Tribolium castaneum: one gene and its partner. The protein of the gene in region 1 binds, or shares a complex with, the protein of each later gene. Links are inferred from orthologs where the notes say so. Each region holds a gene or a part of one and is shown in the gene's direction. Other genes may lie near its edges.

Region 1 (7,108 bases):
GTTGTGCAAAATATTGTCACAGAAGTAATTGTGATTATGAAGTAGCCGTAGGTGTTTGGAAATAATGACCAAAGTATGGCCAATAATAATTTGACCTCGGCTCAGTTGTTTGATTCAAACTCTGGAAATACCTCCATCTGGAGCCCGCCCCTAATCCAAACCGATTATTTCCAGACAATAACAGTTCCCATGATCTCAAACAAATAATCAACGCCGACGAACCCAATTACAACAATTTGTCGGATTACATCGAGCTGCTCTACGAGGGAATGTCTGAAAAAATCAAGGGCGCTCACTTCATCCAGCTTTTGGCGCGTGACCCGGAAAATTTGGACGCATTATCGAAAAATGGTATATAATGTCACAATCAGTTCAAGTAGAAATGGCGCAATTTTGTTTGTAGAAACTGTAATAAGCGCCTTAGCGCGAGTTCTACGCGAGGATTGGAAACGAAGTATTGTCTTAAGCACACACCTGGTGTTTACCTTTTTCTGTTTTTCCATGTACTCACGTTTTCACGAGGTTATACTCAAGTGTAAGGTGAGCAAAGTCGTAAATCTCGAAATTTCGCGCAAATAGATTTTGATGTCAATTAGTTGATTAAATGTTTAAACAGGTGGGTAAATTATGCAACAATAGAAAGTTGCGTCTTTATTTGGCCTTGATTTATTTTTTTAAATACTACAATTAGGAGAATGTTGCGGATGTATGTCCATATATTCAACATATGTACTTTTGACCATTTGCAGAACTCGCTCCCTTAAACCTACTTTTGGAACTTAACGTACTAATTTACATGTTCTGGGGTTATTTTTTGCAAAGCATTTTGCGTCAAAATTGTCCAAAAAATCGTCGAATTAGGCGAAAATAGTTATATTTTAGCCTTCTCGATTTCTTTAACTCATCAAAATTCAGTTTTTTGGACAAATTTTCTTATAACAAAGTACGGTACAGTGTTTTCTCCTTTTTTTTTAAAGGTTTGGGCATGTTATCAGTCAGAAATGAGATATGCAACTTATATTTTTTCTAAATGAATCAATAATATATTTTTTTGGGGCGTTCAAGCGGATTTTGTTAAAGTGAAACGAAAAGTTGCTGAGTTAAGTAAAAAAAATTAATATTTTTTTCTTTTTTTCGACCTTTTCAACAGGTTGTTTCCCCAAAAACGTCATTATTTTGAAGAATTTTGCCCAAATTTGTGTCCAAAATAAGCCGCAAAGTCAAAATGATATTTAGTTTTGCTTCTAGGGAGGTTTTGGTTTTCAGAGTTTTTTCGTTTTTCGGAATCATTTCGCAAAATTTCTCAAAGATTAGCCGAAAAATCACTAATAGTATCGAAAAGGATATTATTTTGCCTTTTCGGGTATTTTCGCTAATAAAATTATTAGCGAATTATTTAATTAAATTAAATTATTATTATTATCTCAAAAAATTGCGCAATTTTTATTTACATATTTCAAGCGCTGAAGCATATTATTCAGATAATTTTTAAATTTTTGCTAAACTGGTTTAAAAAAACAATAAACTGGATCGAAAATGAAATAGTTTCACTATTTTTGCATTGTACAGGGTGCCCAAAAATCGACGCACCAACTCAGTGGTACGTTTTTGAGAAGCATGTGTAGATTACCGAAATTATTAAAAAAAAAATCATATTTTAAAAAATCTGGGACTACAAATTTTTTTTCTGTAGTTTTCGCTATTTATTTTTAATGATTGTATGTTACCAGTATCAGGTTTTTGAATTAAAAAAATAAATAAATAAATAAATAAAATTCAGCAAAAAAAAATTTGTGAATATGCAAGATTGGGAATTATTTCCTAGTGACCGTTTCAAAATTTCGCCAATAATTAATCCAAAAATGATATGTAATTAATTTAAAAATACAATTTTTTTTTTGCTGAAATCGTAATTATTTGACAAAATTTTGATAATAAAATAGACCGAAAATTTACTGAATTGGGCCGAAAATGTTAGATTTGATTTTTATGAGCAAACATGTACATTTTTCAATCAACCAATTGATTATTTTACGAAATTTGCGCAAAAAGTATTAAAAATAGGAGTTGTAAATTGAAAATTTAAATAAAAAGTCTGTTTTTTCGCGAGATATTCTTAACTCAGTAAAATAAATTAGTTAATAAGGTCAAAAGTTTTCAAGAGGTCAAGAGTTTTTTTCAGCTTTTTAGCACGTTGTCGAGCCAGAAAGGCAATTATTTTGGGAACTATTTGAATTTATTATTTTTTTATTAATTATTAATATTATTTATTATTCTCTTCACTGATGATCAGTGATCAGTAATCACCTGAGGCAACAGTATTTGTATCTATTTTATCGGTCACATCTATCTTGATAATAAATAACAGCTTTATTTATGTGCCGCTTAGGAAATATGATGTTTAAACAATAATTGTTTACTGCATAACACAATTTTTGTAAAGATATTACTTCGTAGAAATGAATACAAATTTTGTCCCATTTTTTAATTATGTGTATTGAAAATTTCAAACAACTCACTTAAATTGTGCTTCGTGACATGATATCCAAACATTTTAGTAATAGACTTTACGACTCTACTTAAAAATATGTCACTATCACATCACTAGTAAAATATTCTTATACTCACTGTTTAGAAATGATTTCAACAATTATTAAACGTTCGTGCTGAAGCCAGACTTAGACTAACTTATTCTCGTATCATTTTCCTCAAAATCGGTCTAATCTAATAAAACAAAAAACATTTCGTAACAGTTTTTTTTGCTCAGGGATGCGTATTCCCAACGCAACATCATAACAATTATTCGAATTAAATAAAGCAAACCCCAAACCAAATTTCTGCGCCCTTTACTTTAACAAGGATAATTACCCAAACGTCCGTTCAACTCCGAAGCTTTATTACAACGCAATTATTCCCAGTTTCAAAAAACTCTCAAACACAATTCCAAGGGCCAAAGTATGGCCCGTTTAAAAATTAATTTTATTAGCTTTGATTGGTCGCTGAATAATGTTTGCTCATGGGCACCACATTTAGGTGGGTTCGATCTGTATGGACATAATCGATTACGAGTTGCGAAGATACGACAAGTGGAAGGCGGATTTGGAGGGCGTTGAGGCCCCGGACGACATCCCCATCGTCCGCAAGCCATGTCCGAGTAGCGCTAGCCTCTCCGAAATCCCCCGGAGTCGCATTCCGGAGCCGGTTAGGCCCCGATCCGGGAACTTCTCCGAGGCGAATATTAAAGCCGTGATGGAAGGCAGCGTTTACGACGATTTGACGACTTCCACGGAAAGTATCGACGATAAAAAACTGAGCGAAGCGGAAAAGGCGAAACGTTTCCGCACTTTGGTGAAAAAACAAGAACATCTGCTCCGTGTCGCGTTTTATCTCTTGCTGAATATCGCCGAAGACGAAAGTATTGAAGAGAAAATGACGAAGAGGAACATCGTGGGGTTGTTGGTCAAGGCTCTGGAGAGGGACAACGAGGAATTGTTGGTTCTGGTGGTGACGTTCCTGAAGAAGTTGTCCATTATGCAGTGTAATAAGGACGCTATGGCCGGGATGAATGTCGTGGAGAAGTTGCCGAAATTGCTGGAGTCCAACAGTCCCGACTTGGTGCATTTGACGTTGAAATTGTTGTTTAATTTGTCGTTTGATACAAAATTGAGGTTTAGAATCGTCCAAATTGGACTTCTACCGAAATTTATCAGTTTATTAAGTGAGTTGAGTAAAAGCAGTCGGCGTGTAATTCACTGGCGTATTTTAAGGCGATGATCGTCATCAGGAGATTGTTTTAAAATTACTCTACCATTTGAGTTACGACGATGACGTCAAAACGCAATTTGCCGAATGTGTGGGTTTGGTAAAAACGTTACGTTAAAAATAATCGCTTTTTGCACAATTCAATTTTTTAAGATAACGGACATGTTATTACTTAATATTGGAAACGAAGGTGACGAAGTTATGGTCGCACTTTGTATCAATTTGGCCACGGACCCGACAAACGCCCAACAAATGATGAAAAAAAATCGCGTCCAATCGTTAATGATGAGGGCTTTCAATTATCAAGATAACATGTTGATGAAAATGTTGAGGAATTTGTCAGAGCATAAATCATCCAAAGTTAATTTCGTCGTACGTGCACCTTTTAAAAATCCACGATTTAAGTAAATTTTTTAGGAGTTTGTAGGCGACATTGCAAAGGCCGTAGTCGAGTCAAAGGAAGACGATTTCGTAGTCGAATGTGTCGGAATTTTAAGCAACCTCAGTTTACCCGAGCTGGACTGGGCGGAAATTTTCAAACACTTCGATATGTTAAAATGGATCGAAAAAGTGATTCGTAACAATAACACCGACCCCGAGTTGGTTTTACAAGTAATAATGACAAAATTGCAAATTATTTAATAATTTTTTTGTGTAGGTTGTAGTTTTATTAGGCACGGCTGCAGCCGACGAAGGTTGTGCCAAGCTCTTGTGCGAATCGAACATAATCTCGGCTTTGATCGAACTCTTGAAGACGCACCAGGAAGACGACGAAATCGTCCTTCAAATAATTTTCGTTTTTTTCGCGACCATTTCTCACGGGACGAATATTGATTATCTGGCGGAGAAAACCGAAGCTCCGGCCTATTTGATCGATTTACTCCAAGACAATAACAAGTCCATTAGGAAATTGTGCAATACGTGTCTTAATATAATAGCCGAGCATAGTAAAACTTGGGCGGAAAGGATCAAAATTGAAAAATTCAGGCATCATAACGCGCAGTGGTTACAAATGGTCGATTCGCAGCAGTTGGGTCCCGAGGACGAGGACGACGAAGAGGATGCCTTGCCACCGTATCTGAATACGGAGTTTCTGGGAACGGCAGTGGTCCCGCCTTTGTCAGGTCGGTGCCAGTTTTGGGTGATTGAAGTAAATGTTTTATTTTCGATTTTTAGATTTGAATGAACATGCACAAGAATCGGAATTTATCTCACAAAAAGACATAGACTTTGACTATTTTGATAGACCAGAGTAAGTTTGTTTGGTAAGAATGTCAGTGAGTGGGTTTCCTGATGTTAATTTATTTGCAGGGTCATTCCGGACTTTGAAATTGAAGCCATTTAATTTTTTGCTTGAGCACAAGTGATATTCAGCTTTCTAGTCATACATTTTCTTGTTAATTTTTATGTAATTGATAATAAACATTTACTTGTACTTCCAGCAGAGGCGTTACTTATGTTTTTTGTGATAGTTGTTTTGAATAAAACCACGTTCGTATACATAACTGCTTTTATTTCGATACTAATACAGAAGCCATCTGAAATTATGAAATTAAAAAAACGTAAGGACGAGACACTTTATTAATAAAACATAACTAAGTTTACGGAACCAAAAAAATGATATAAATAAGAAAATTCTTAAAACTATTATCTACAATAATACTAATAACATGAATGCACCTGAACAGGGTTGGCACAACAAATAAAGGGTGCAAAAAGTTAAAAGTAACCCATACAAGCAAGAAGACTAGTGATTTACCGAAAGAAAAGAGAAATCTTTGAGCTTGAAAAAAGTGTGAATTGTTTTTAGACATACGCATAGGTCGTGTCCATGATTTGAAACATGAAAATGAGATTATATACAAGATTATCACTTTAGCTTAGTCGAAATAAATTATAAATCATCACAATATTCATGACAAAATTATAAACAACTTATAAAAACAATTTTATTAAACTGAAATTCGTACTAAAATTAAACGAAACAATCAACCCATGATCACACGAAACCGAAATTCTTTGTTTTGATGGCAAGTAATAATTTCTGTCTAAGAACTGCGCGACTACTATAAAGTGGAATATATAAACGTGATATACAAGTGTTTGCTGTTGGTAAATGTGCGTCGTCGGCTGGTCTTATCGTCACCGAAGGCATCGGCTGAAAGCCGTCCTCGCTTGCCGGAAGTGCCGGAGAACCCGTCCAGAAATAAACCTAAACGCAAGAGTCAACTCAACCGACCGCAGACTAAACAACAAACTTACCAAGTCCTGCCTTTCCAGATGCGTCATCTTTTCAACAATTGACCACAGCCACCGCTTGAACTTGACTAAACGTTCGCTGTTCTCACCGGACTCGTCATTGAACGACGTATACGATATTAAAACTGCCACATTGATATCTCCCACACCGTTCAACAAAAGCCGAAGATCTTCGGCCGTTAAACTGTCCAAGGAGCCTTCAGGCAACACATCGAGGACGCCAGTTCGGATGCTCTCGATCGCTTTTTCTTGCACTTTAATCATCCGATACTTGGCGTACTTCCGAACGTAGTCGTAGACGTTGCTCGACGTCACTTCAATATCTTTACCACCCGGCATCAGTTCGACTGTACCGCCACCTTCCTCCGGACTTAAATCAATTCTAAAACCAACCATAATAATAAAATAATACAACACCCAATAATTTTTAACTTACGTGAAATTGAGCTCAAGCGTTGAGAACAAATTATTACAATCTTTCGTTTCGGCGTCCACCACCAACTGCCTCAACGACTCGTAGACAATCGGGTCGAAAAACGCAAAATCATGGAACTTGATGGGTCTCGCTAAAATTGATTTTAAAACGTGTCTCGTCAAGAAAATCGGACAAAGTTCGTTCTGTAGTAGACACAATCCGATCAATCTCCCTACGTTTCTAAACGCATTCAATCGTTCAAACGTCGCTTTCCCCTGTCTGGGAGCGTAAAACCCTCTCTTTCCCGGACAGTAAAACAGCGGTGCATTATCCTCCTCATCTTGAACGTTCTCCTCCACCACCGAATTATCATTTCCTCCGCTCGAACGCCCCGATCCTTTCCGCGAGCTCGAACTCCGATCAGTCAACGTAAAAACATCCAATTCGAGCAGCGCTTCCGACGTCAATTCTTGCTGGGAATGTAAGTGTGCTAGAATCATTTCGACCGCCTCTTCAACTTTGGCCCTCAGCGAGTCTTCGGACGCTAAAAGAAGCAACAATTGAGCTGGTGATAACTCCAGAAGCATTCCGGTGATTCTTCCGGCGAAATTCGGATGCAAATTGTACACTTTGGGATATAGACGGTCACCTAGTTGTTGTTGGTGCGCGGAG
Region 2 (7,281 bases), on another chromosome or scaffold:
CGCATTCCGCACCTGTTGCGTCCGGAAGTTCATATAACTGAAAATGTCGACGATAAACAAGATACGAAATGTCAAATTCTTCCACTGGATGGGATGGTCCCTGACATCTCGCCTCAAACACCGTCAACCACGCACCAAATTTGCGGTTTCACGACAAACACATTTTTCCACCATTAATCAATGAATATGGAACGGTTTGGAGTACTACTACTCATGCTACCAGGAAAAACGCGAAAAAATCACAACAAACAAATCATTGTTTACTAATAATGAGTGGGGAAATTTAAAGTTCATGGAACAAACGCCACACGTGCTAAAAACTAATTTCCTCAATTACTAGCTAATTAATTCCTGGTTTGTTTGCCAACGAAGACATTTTCTGTATTAATTATACTTTTTAAATCACAATTATGAAACTGATAAAACCGAGGCGCAAGAAATAGATAACCGGAGTTCCGGATGATCGAACTTCTGCACCTTTAAAATATTTAGTCAAATAGATGAGTTTTGGTCAAAATCATTGGGATTAAAAGCTACATCCAAAATTTCATATCGTGATAGCACCCAGTAACGATAGAAATAATAATAAAATAATAATAATAATAATAGTAATAATAATAATAATAATAAGAAGAAGAAGAAGAAGAAGAAAAAGGGGTAATAATGAGCAAATTAAGTAATAAACATTAAAATATTATTTGCGGTTCTTTAACACAGAATTTTTTTCATAAATAAATAATAAAAAAATAAAACTCCTTGCTGATTATTAATGTGATTAATACCAATCTAGACATAGTTTTTAAACACTTGCGTATGCGAATACGATAACGTTATCTTCCGCAAAATATTTTTTATTCTGGTATGTAAACACTGTTGTGACACAGTCTCGCAAAATTGAGCCCGGCCCTGTCTCTCATTATTGTGTAGGGTAAATGAGAATAAAGTAGTACAAATTGATTTGTTCTTTTTTGAGCGATTTAATGACTGAGTGCATGTTGTCAGCGGAGTAATGGTAGTGCAAATTCTGCAATGTTTACTTAATGAGCTCCAGAAGAACCCTCTATAATTACTTTTCTATCAGCCAATTAAGACAAGAATTAAAATCATTAAAACGTAACAGTTTTTATTCGTGTCATTTTTTGAACTTCGTGTTTGATTTTACTTGTGCGCGAAGCTCATTATAACCGAGATTAAATTTCATAAACCTGGGGAATGTGGAATATGTCGCTATAAAATTTCAATGCATTGTTGTGAGTGGTTAAATGAAGTGGATCTCCCTTAATCAAGGGTTATTTTGATGTTTATATCCGCGCAATAAATTGATAAAGAAACATAAAACCGAGCAATAAACACAAATTATGTACGGAAAGGAAACCGTAATACAACATATTTTCTTTTTCGAAAACCTCGTACCGGAAATAGTTTATTATGGCGATTATGATATTTGCATAAATATTTGTGGATTGAGAAAAGTGGTTAGGAGCGGCGCCAGACAATCCGAAAATGGGCCCTATCAGGCCAGGCTTGAATATTCGAGTCGTTTTCAACTGAAAGTGCGCCGCTTCCGGAGACTGGGGCCGTTTCAACTTTTCCGAAGAAATTTCGAATTTATTCCGGCGCCGGCCTAAAAACTGCACCCGTATTGTGTGCCACCGATGCTAATTTAATCCCATCAACCTGTTAAACCAGTCTCAAATGAAATTATTTCGAAAATTAGGCATCTAGACCCTCTGTAACAAAAGATTTAATTGGAGAGCTGAAAAAACGACTCCTAAGTCATTTGCTCGATACAAAGCGCGGGTAAATTTCATGTTGTATGACTTCCGTTACCTCGGGCATTTCAAGAAAAACTGGCTCGCATCGTACCACCTGTTCATCAGATACCATCACTTAAATCACACAAAACCCGTTCATCAGTGCCGACAAAATGGCGGCAATCAAACGCGAAATACTGTTCACAATAAATTTATTCTGGTTATAATTCTACATGAAATTTTCAACGACGGCCCGGAGTGTCGTCTCCGTGCAGCCAGTCGTCGTCGGATCCGGCACCGTTGATGTCGCCGTTGGAGCAACTCTCGTCAAATGTGTTCACACACCGTTTTCCCGGGTTGTCGCCGCCGTTCAAAAACGCCTCGTCGGACCCAGCCCCATTTATGACATCGTTGATGCAACTTTCGTCAAATGTATTAGCGCAGCGTTTACTGGCCAGCTGGAGACGGTGGAACAAAGCGCCCCACGACTTGGCCGGGGCACTTCTGTAATTGACCCTCGCAGGGAAGTAGTGCAAGTTCGGGTGCACGTAGTAGCACAAAACTGCCGGCATGAGCACGAAAAGGAGCAAAAAGGCGGTTTTCATTTTGCTGAAACTATACGTTTCTACTTCAATCATAATCATAAATAATAAATAATATATTACTTACTCACCTATATTAGACCGAAAGGCACAGAAAGGACTGATTTTGCACGCATTTGCGCCCTTTTTTATACCCATCCTAATCTCAATATTAATTAAATTATTATTTGAGATTGCCCGGAATTAATGAATAGGGTGATTTGTTTTGCTCCGATTTATCATTATTTAATAATGCCCTTATCACTATCCCAACACCGGGGATTTAATTAGCTCGTTCGAGTGGCTGTTTACTTTTCGGCTGCCCCTTGTAGCTCGCAGCCTAAGACCAATTCAAACTCTGCGCGCTTGTAGCTGTCAGACTGACAGCTGACCCTAACCTAAATTTCCGCAATATTGATTAAATTTCCCGTAAAAAATAATCAAAAATGGCAAATTCGAAGACAGACGTGCAGACTGAGGTGGAAAACGTTCGTGTTTTTGTCCGAGTGCGTCCTTTAACCAAGAAGGAAGAAGCTGAGGGCCACCTAAATGTTCTTTTGATCGACCCTAAGGAGAATTTAATTGCTTTGAATAAAGACGGGGCGAACCCCAAACCGTTTAAGTTCGATCAGGTGTTTGGGGAGGACTCGACGCAGGTTTGTTTAGTTTCAAGTTGAATCAGGGCGAGGTTTTGTTTGCAGTTGTCGTTGTACAGAGTGATAGCTGTGCCAATAGTCGAGAAGGCTCTACAGGGGTACAATGGCACGATTTTTGCGTACGGCCAGACGGGCACCGGGAAGACGTACACCATGTCAGGGAATTACGCCAAGCCGGAACTCAAAGGCATCATCCCCAACACATTCTCGCACATTTTCAGCCAGATTTCGCGGGCCAGCGGCGAGACGTCGTTCGTTGTCACCGTCACCTACCTCGAGATCTACAACGAAGAAGTCAGGGATTTGCTGTCCACAGACCCGAATAAAAAACTGGCGATTCGGGAGAGGCCAGACGTGGGCGTGTATGTCAAGGATCTCATGGGATTCACCGTTGACTCGATTGAGTCAATTACCGAACTCCTCAACAGAGGAAACAAAAACCGCGTCACTCGGTCCACTCTCATGAACGACGTGAGCTCGAGATCGCACGCGATTTTTACCATAACCATCGAGTCGAAAAACAGAAGCAGCAATAAAACCACTGTTGGCAAACTCAATTTGGTTGACTTGGCTGTGAGTCGGTGCCAGTGTGAGGGGCGCTTCTAAGGCCAGTTTTTAGGGCTCCGAGCGGGCAAGCAGGACCCAAGCCACAGGCGAGCGGCTGAGGGAGGCCAGCAATATTAATCTGTCGCTCTCGGTGCTCGGAAATGTCATTTCGGCACTCGTTGACGGCAAAAGCAGCCACATTCCGTACAGAAACTCCAAACTGACGCGGTTACTCCAAGACTCGCTGGGCGGAAACTCCAAAACAGCAATGGTATTTTTAATTAAAGGCCCTGTTATCACGTTAAACCTCATTTAAATAAATTTTGAAAACCGTTTTTCAATATCTGTCTCAGTTACTGAGATAATCGCCAATTTAGTAGCGTTGCGCGCTGGTCGTGACGTCACTCCTTCCTCACTCCGCTCGTATTACAATAGTATTATGGTTTAAATCAGAAATATTTGAGATTAATAAATTATGCAACCTGCATTAAGAATTGAGGCGTGTTTTTTTGCAAACTTCGGTTATCATAGATTCAAAAATAATGTATATTCTTAAAAAAATTAGTAATGCCGATTATTTTTTTATACTTTTAAGGGTTCTAGAATGGTTTTTGAGAAAAAAGGTCGCTTAAAATCGTCAAAATTTGAACTGGGGGCGTTCAGAAGCAAAATGATGAGCATTCCGCCGCGGCTAGGGCAGGTGTGACGTCATCAGCTTTACGAATTTAATTATTTTCGGGCTTATTTATTGCGGTTTTCGCTAAAATTCGTAGAAAAAATGTGGTTTTTATTTTAGAAAACGTTATTTTGACCTAACAGGGCCTTAAATCAGTTGGAATTGTTCAACTGTGATTTTAGATCGCGATGGTGAGTCCGGCGGACATTGACTACGAAGAAAGCATTTGTACGTTAAGATACGCCGCTCGAGTCAAACACATCCAAAACCATGCGCGAATTAACGTCGAACAGCGGGGTCTTATTGAGGGATTCGAGCACGAAATCGCCGAATTGCAGGAAAAAATCCACTTATTGTCACTCCAGGAGCAAAAACAGCCCAAGAAAAAGAAAGAGCGGGCGTCGGCCCACAAAGTTGAGGAACTGAAGAAGTGGGAAGAGGAATTGCAAAAAACTGAGTACGTGTTGTCCCAGTTTTGAAAACCAAATAAAACGGTTTTTAGGAAGGAAAAGAGCGATTTGATGCAGAAAATCTCGCTGATCCAGAAGCGGATCCTCGTCGGCGGTGAGAACCTGTTCGAGAAGGCGCAGCACCAGGCCTTCCTGATCGAGTCGACGGGGGCGGAGATCGAAAACCTGGACAAGAACCACCAACAGCTGGAGGAGACGCTGAGCAAGAAGGGGCAGGAGCGCATCGACGTGGAGGAGAAGTACTCGAGTCTCCAGGAGGAGGACGCCGGGACGGGCAAAAAGATCAAAAAAGTCCAGGCGTATCTGAACGAAGTCAAGGAGGAGTACGCCGACAAGGAGCACGAGTACCAGCGCGAAATGGAGGCGCTGCTGGACAACAACCGGCTCCTGGTCCGGGAAACCCAGCTGGCGTGCCTGATGATCGACAGCTACATCCCGAAGGAATACTTGAAGAAAATCGAGGCCAATTTGATATGGAACTCGGAGACGCAGGAATACCAGATGCGCGGGGTGGCCTACACGGGGAACAACATGCGGAAGCGGCAGTCGGCCCACTCGGAGTGCTTCACGCCGGTGAAGTTCGAGATGAAGCCGGTGTACCACAAGTACCCGGAGAAGAAGCGCGAGCGCAAGATGGTGTACGAGAAGCGGTCGTTCTCCGCGGTGCCCAAAGCCCGCTAACTGTCGCCGGATTATTTGTGTTGTGTTAATTTGTGATATTAATTAGGCCCGACTTTTTATTTATTTGTGATTATGTTGTACTTAATAAATCTATTTATTGCCCAATGGTGTGTTATTTGCGACGGGAGTGGGGCGGTTTGAATTTGCGCGGCGGGTTTGATTGATGCGATTGGACGGCAGACTTGGAGGCGTCCCATTGTCACTTTGTTGATGGCGAGCCGTGGTGTTGTTTCACAAATAAATAAACCACAACAAAATGTAAATCGGAAGTTTCGAGCGAATACGTCGGTGGCAAGTGAACTGTGGAATTTGCGTTAATCAAGATATTGTTGATTCTTATCATTGATAAAATGAACACACAGGTGGTATCAAGAGAGCGATCAATTTTTTTGTCCAAACTTAGCTTCCCAACAAGTTCTTCTGACAGTCGTTTGCAGGATGAAGGGAACAATTCGGACGTCGAAGGCAAAGTCAAAAACAGACTCCTCTCAATGTGGAATAACGTGAAATATGGTGAGCCACTCTAACCTAACTTATTCATCGCCGAACTATGTGCAAACAAAGGCATTTCTTGCCCTGATAGCGGGTGATTCACTTATTTCATAAATCAAACGCTATATTTAGTGCAAGTCTGCTGAAACCACCGACACAGCGATTTCAGCGAACCGGAAGTCTTGCCAACAAAAAATTCCGTTACAAAACCAATCATGTGATAAATGTTGTAAATCACTCAAAATATTGTGAAAACCACAAATCCTTGATGATCCCCTTCATTATTATTAGTATCACCTTCAAATTGCGTACACAAGCAGGGCCGGACTACTCCCTTTTGAAACCCAACGTACTAATTTATAACTCTACTAGAGCTATTTTTGCTATTCTGAGTTGAGCTATTTTGAGCTGGGTCGAAAATGGTGTCATTTAGCACTGAAACACTTCAAAACCCTTTTTTTGGCACTAATAAATTTGCCAAAAATTATATTATTTCTCCTTATTTTCAGCCAACACATCAAAACGCAATTATTTTGCCAGATTTAAATAAAAATATGCCAAAAATTTCAGTATTTTTGCTTTTTTTAACCGCTGTTTAACTAGAAACGCGACTATTTTGAGGAATTTTGTTCAAAATAAGCTTAGAAGTCAGGCAGAACCGAGATAAAAACACGTCATATGGTAAAAATAAATTTTCCTGACGAGTTGAACACAAAATTTAGCAAAATTCAGTGAAAAATTTCACATTTTCAATATTAATAATTAATTTAAGTGTGGAAAATACCAAGTTTTTCTGGTTCAGTTAAGAAAATTTGTTATTTCCATGCTCAAATAAATATTGAAAAGTTACAGAATTTTTCCTCGAATTTTACAAAATGTTTTGTTATCTCAAGCGTTTTATTGTGTTTTACAGAAACGCAATTATTTTGCAAAATATCTCAAAAACAGCAACAAAAATCACTAAGTTGGATCGAAAAGCAAAGTATTTTAATATTTTGGATATTTTAGCGTATTTTTATTCGAAAACGCAGTTGTTTAGTGTTTTACAAAAATTTATTGGATCGAAAATGATATGATTTTAGCATTTTGCGGTATAGTCGCACGTTTTTGATTAAAAACGCAGTTATTAAGGGTTAAAAAGGATTATCTAATTAAATTGGTGTATTTTTTCCCTATTAAAAAGTTTTCCCATTTCACGGAAGTTCATTATTTCGAGGCCTTATCTATTTTAAAAGTTTCTTTTATCCACAATTTTCATAAAAATAAACTGGAAAATTGACTAATTGTTTCGACAATATTTTTTTATGACAACCTACACCTGATAATAAGAAAAAAAATAATAAAAATCATATTAAAATTTAATTTAATAAAATAAAAATATTTATTATCAATTAAACGTAATGGGTTTTATCTTATTGATCTTGA

The links.
Region 2: the proteins of Kap3 (region 1) and Klp64D are in contact, whole or in part, in a crystal structure (PDB 9IKB), measured with the Caenorhabditis elegans proteins. The link is inferred for Tribolium castaneum from reciprocal best matches to the Caenorhabditis elegans genes kap-1 and klp-20. Residues at the interface, in NP_001367739.1 of Caenorhabditis elegans: Ile269, Glu272, Leu273, Val276, Arg277, Leu309, Ser310, Ile311, Phe312, Asp313, Glu314, Asn315, Lys316, Asn349, Phe350, Phe352, Asp353, Lys657, Ala660, Gly661, Arg663, Phe664, Lys665, His667, Asn668, Gln670, Trp671, Met674, Val675, Asp679; in NP_497178.1 of Caenorhabditis elegans: Tyr557, Ile558, Pro559, Val560, His562, Leu565, Ile566, Tyr569, Lys582, Ile584, Ala585, Tyr586, Gln607, Met611, Tyr612, Tyr613, Ser614, Tyr615, Arg616, Leu619, Ala621, Ser622, Thr623, Ala624.

What each region holds. Positions count from the first base shown.
Region 1 is NC_087398.1:9,877,091-9,884,198, forward strand, and holds the end of Kap3 (kinesin-associated protein 3), read left to right. Parts: intron 1-174; coding exon 175-351; intron 352-403; coding exon 404-540; intron 541-3,033; coding exon 3,034-3,718; intron 3,719-3,767; coding exon 3,768-3,862; intron 3,863-3,915; coding exon 3,916-4,134; intron 4,135-4,179; coding exon 4,180-4,374; intron 4,375-4,420; coding exon 4,421-4,886; intron 4,887-4,938; coding exon 4,939-5,014; coding exon of another isoform or gene 5,015-5,018; exon of another isoform or gene 5,019-5,027; intron 5,028-5,073; coding exon 5,074-5,107; 3' UTR 5,108-5,203; downstream 5,204-7,108. Other genes in the region: E3 ubiquitin-protein ligase hyd, read right to left, coding at 5,762-5,974, 6,025-6,403, 6,458-7,108.
Region 2 is NC_087403.1:3,792,476-3,799,756, forward strand, and holds Klp64D (kinesin-like protein KIF3A), read left to right. Parts: upstream 1-2,664; 5' UTR 2,665-2,781; coding exon 2,782-2,991; intron 2,992-3,036; coding exon 3,037-3,564; intron 3,565-3,610; coding exon 3,611-3,808; intron 3,809-4,395; coding exon 4,396-4,670; intron 4,671-4,715; coding exon 4,716-5,364; 3' UTR 5,365-5,469; downstream 5,470-7,281. Other genes in the region: uncharacterized protein LOC103313049, read right to left, coding at 1,997-2,379, 2,428-2,494; Atg4b (cysteine protease ATG4D), read left to right, coding at 5,715-5,877. UniProt on the Caenorhabditis elegans protein: Component of the kinesin II motor complex (composed of kap-1 and the heterodimeric motor proteins klp-11 and klp-20) which is required for intraflagellar transport (IFT).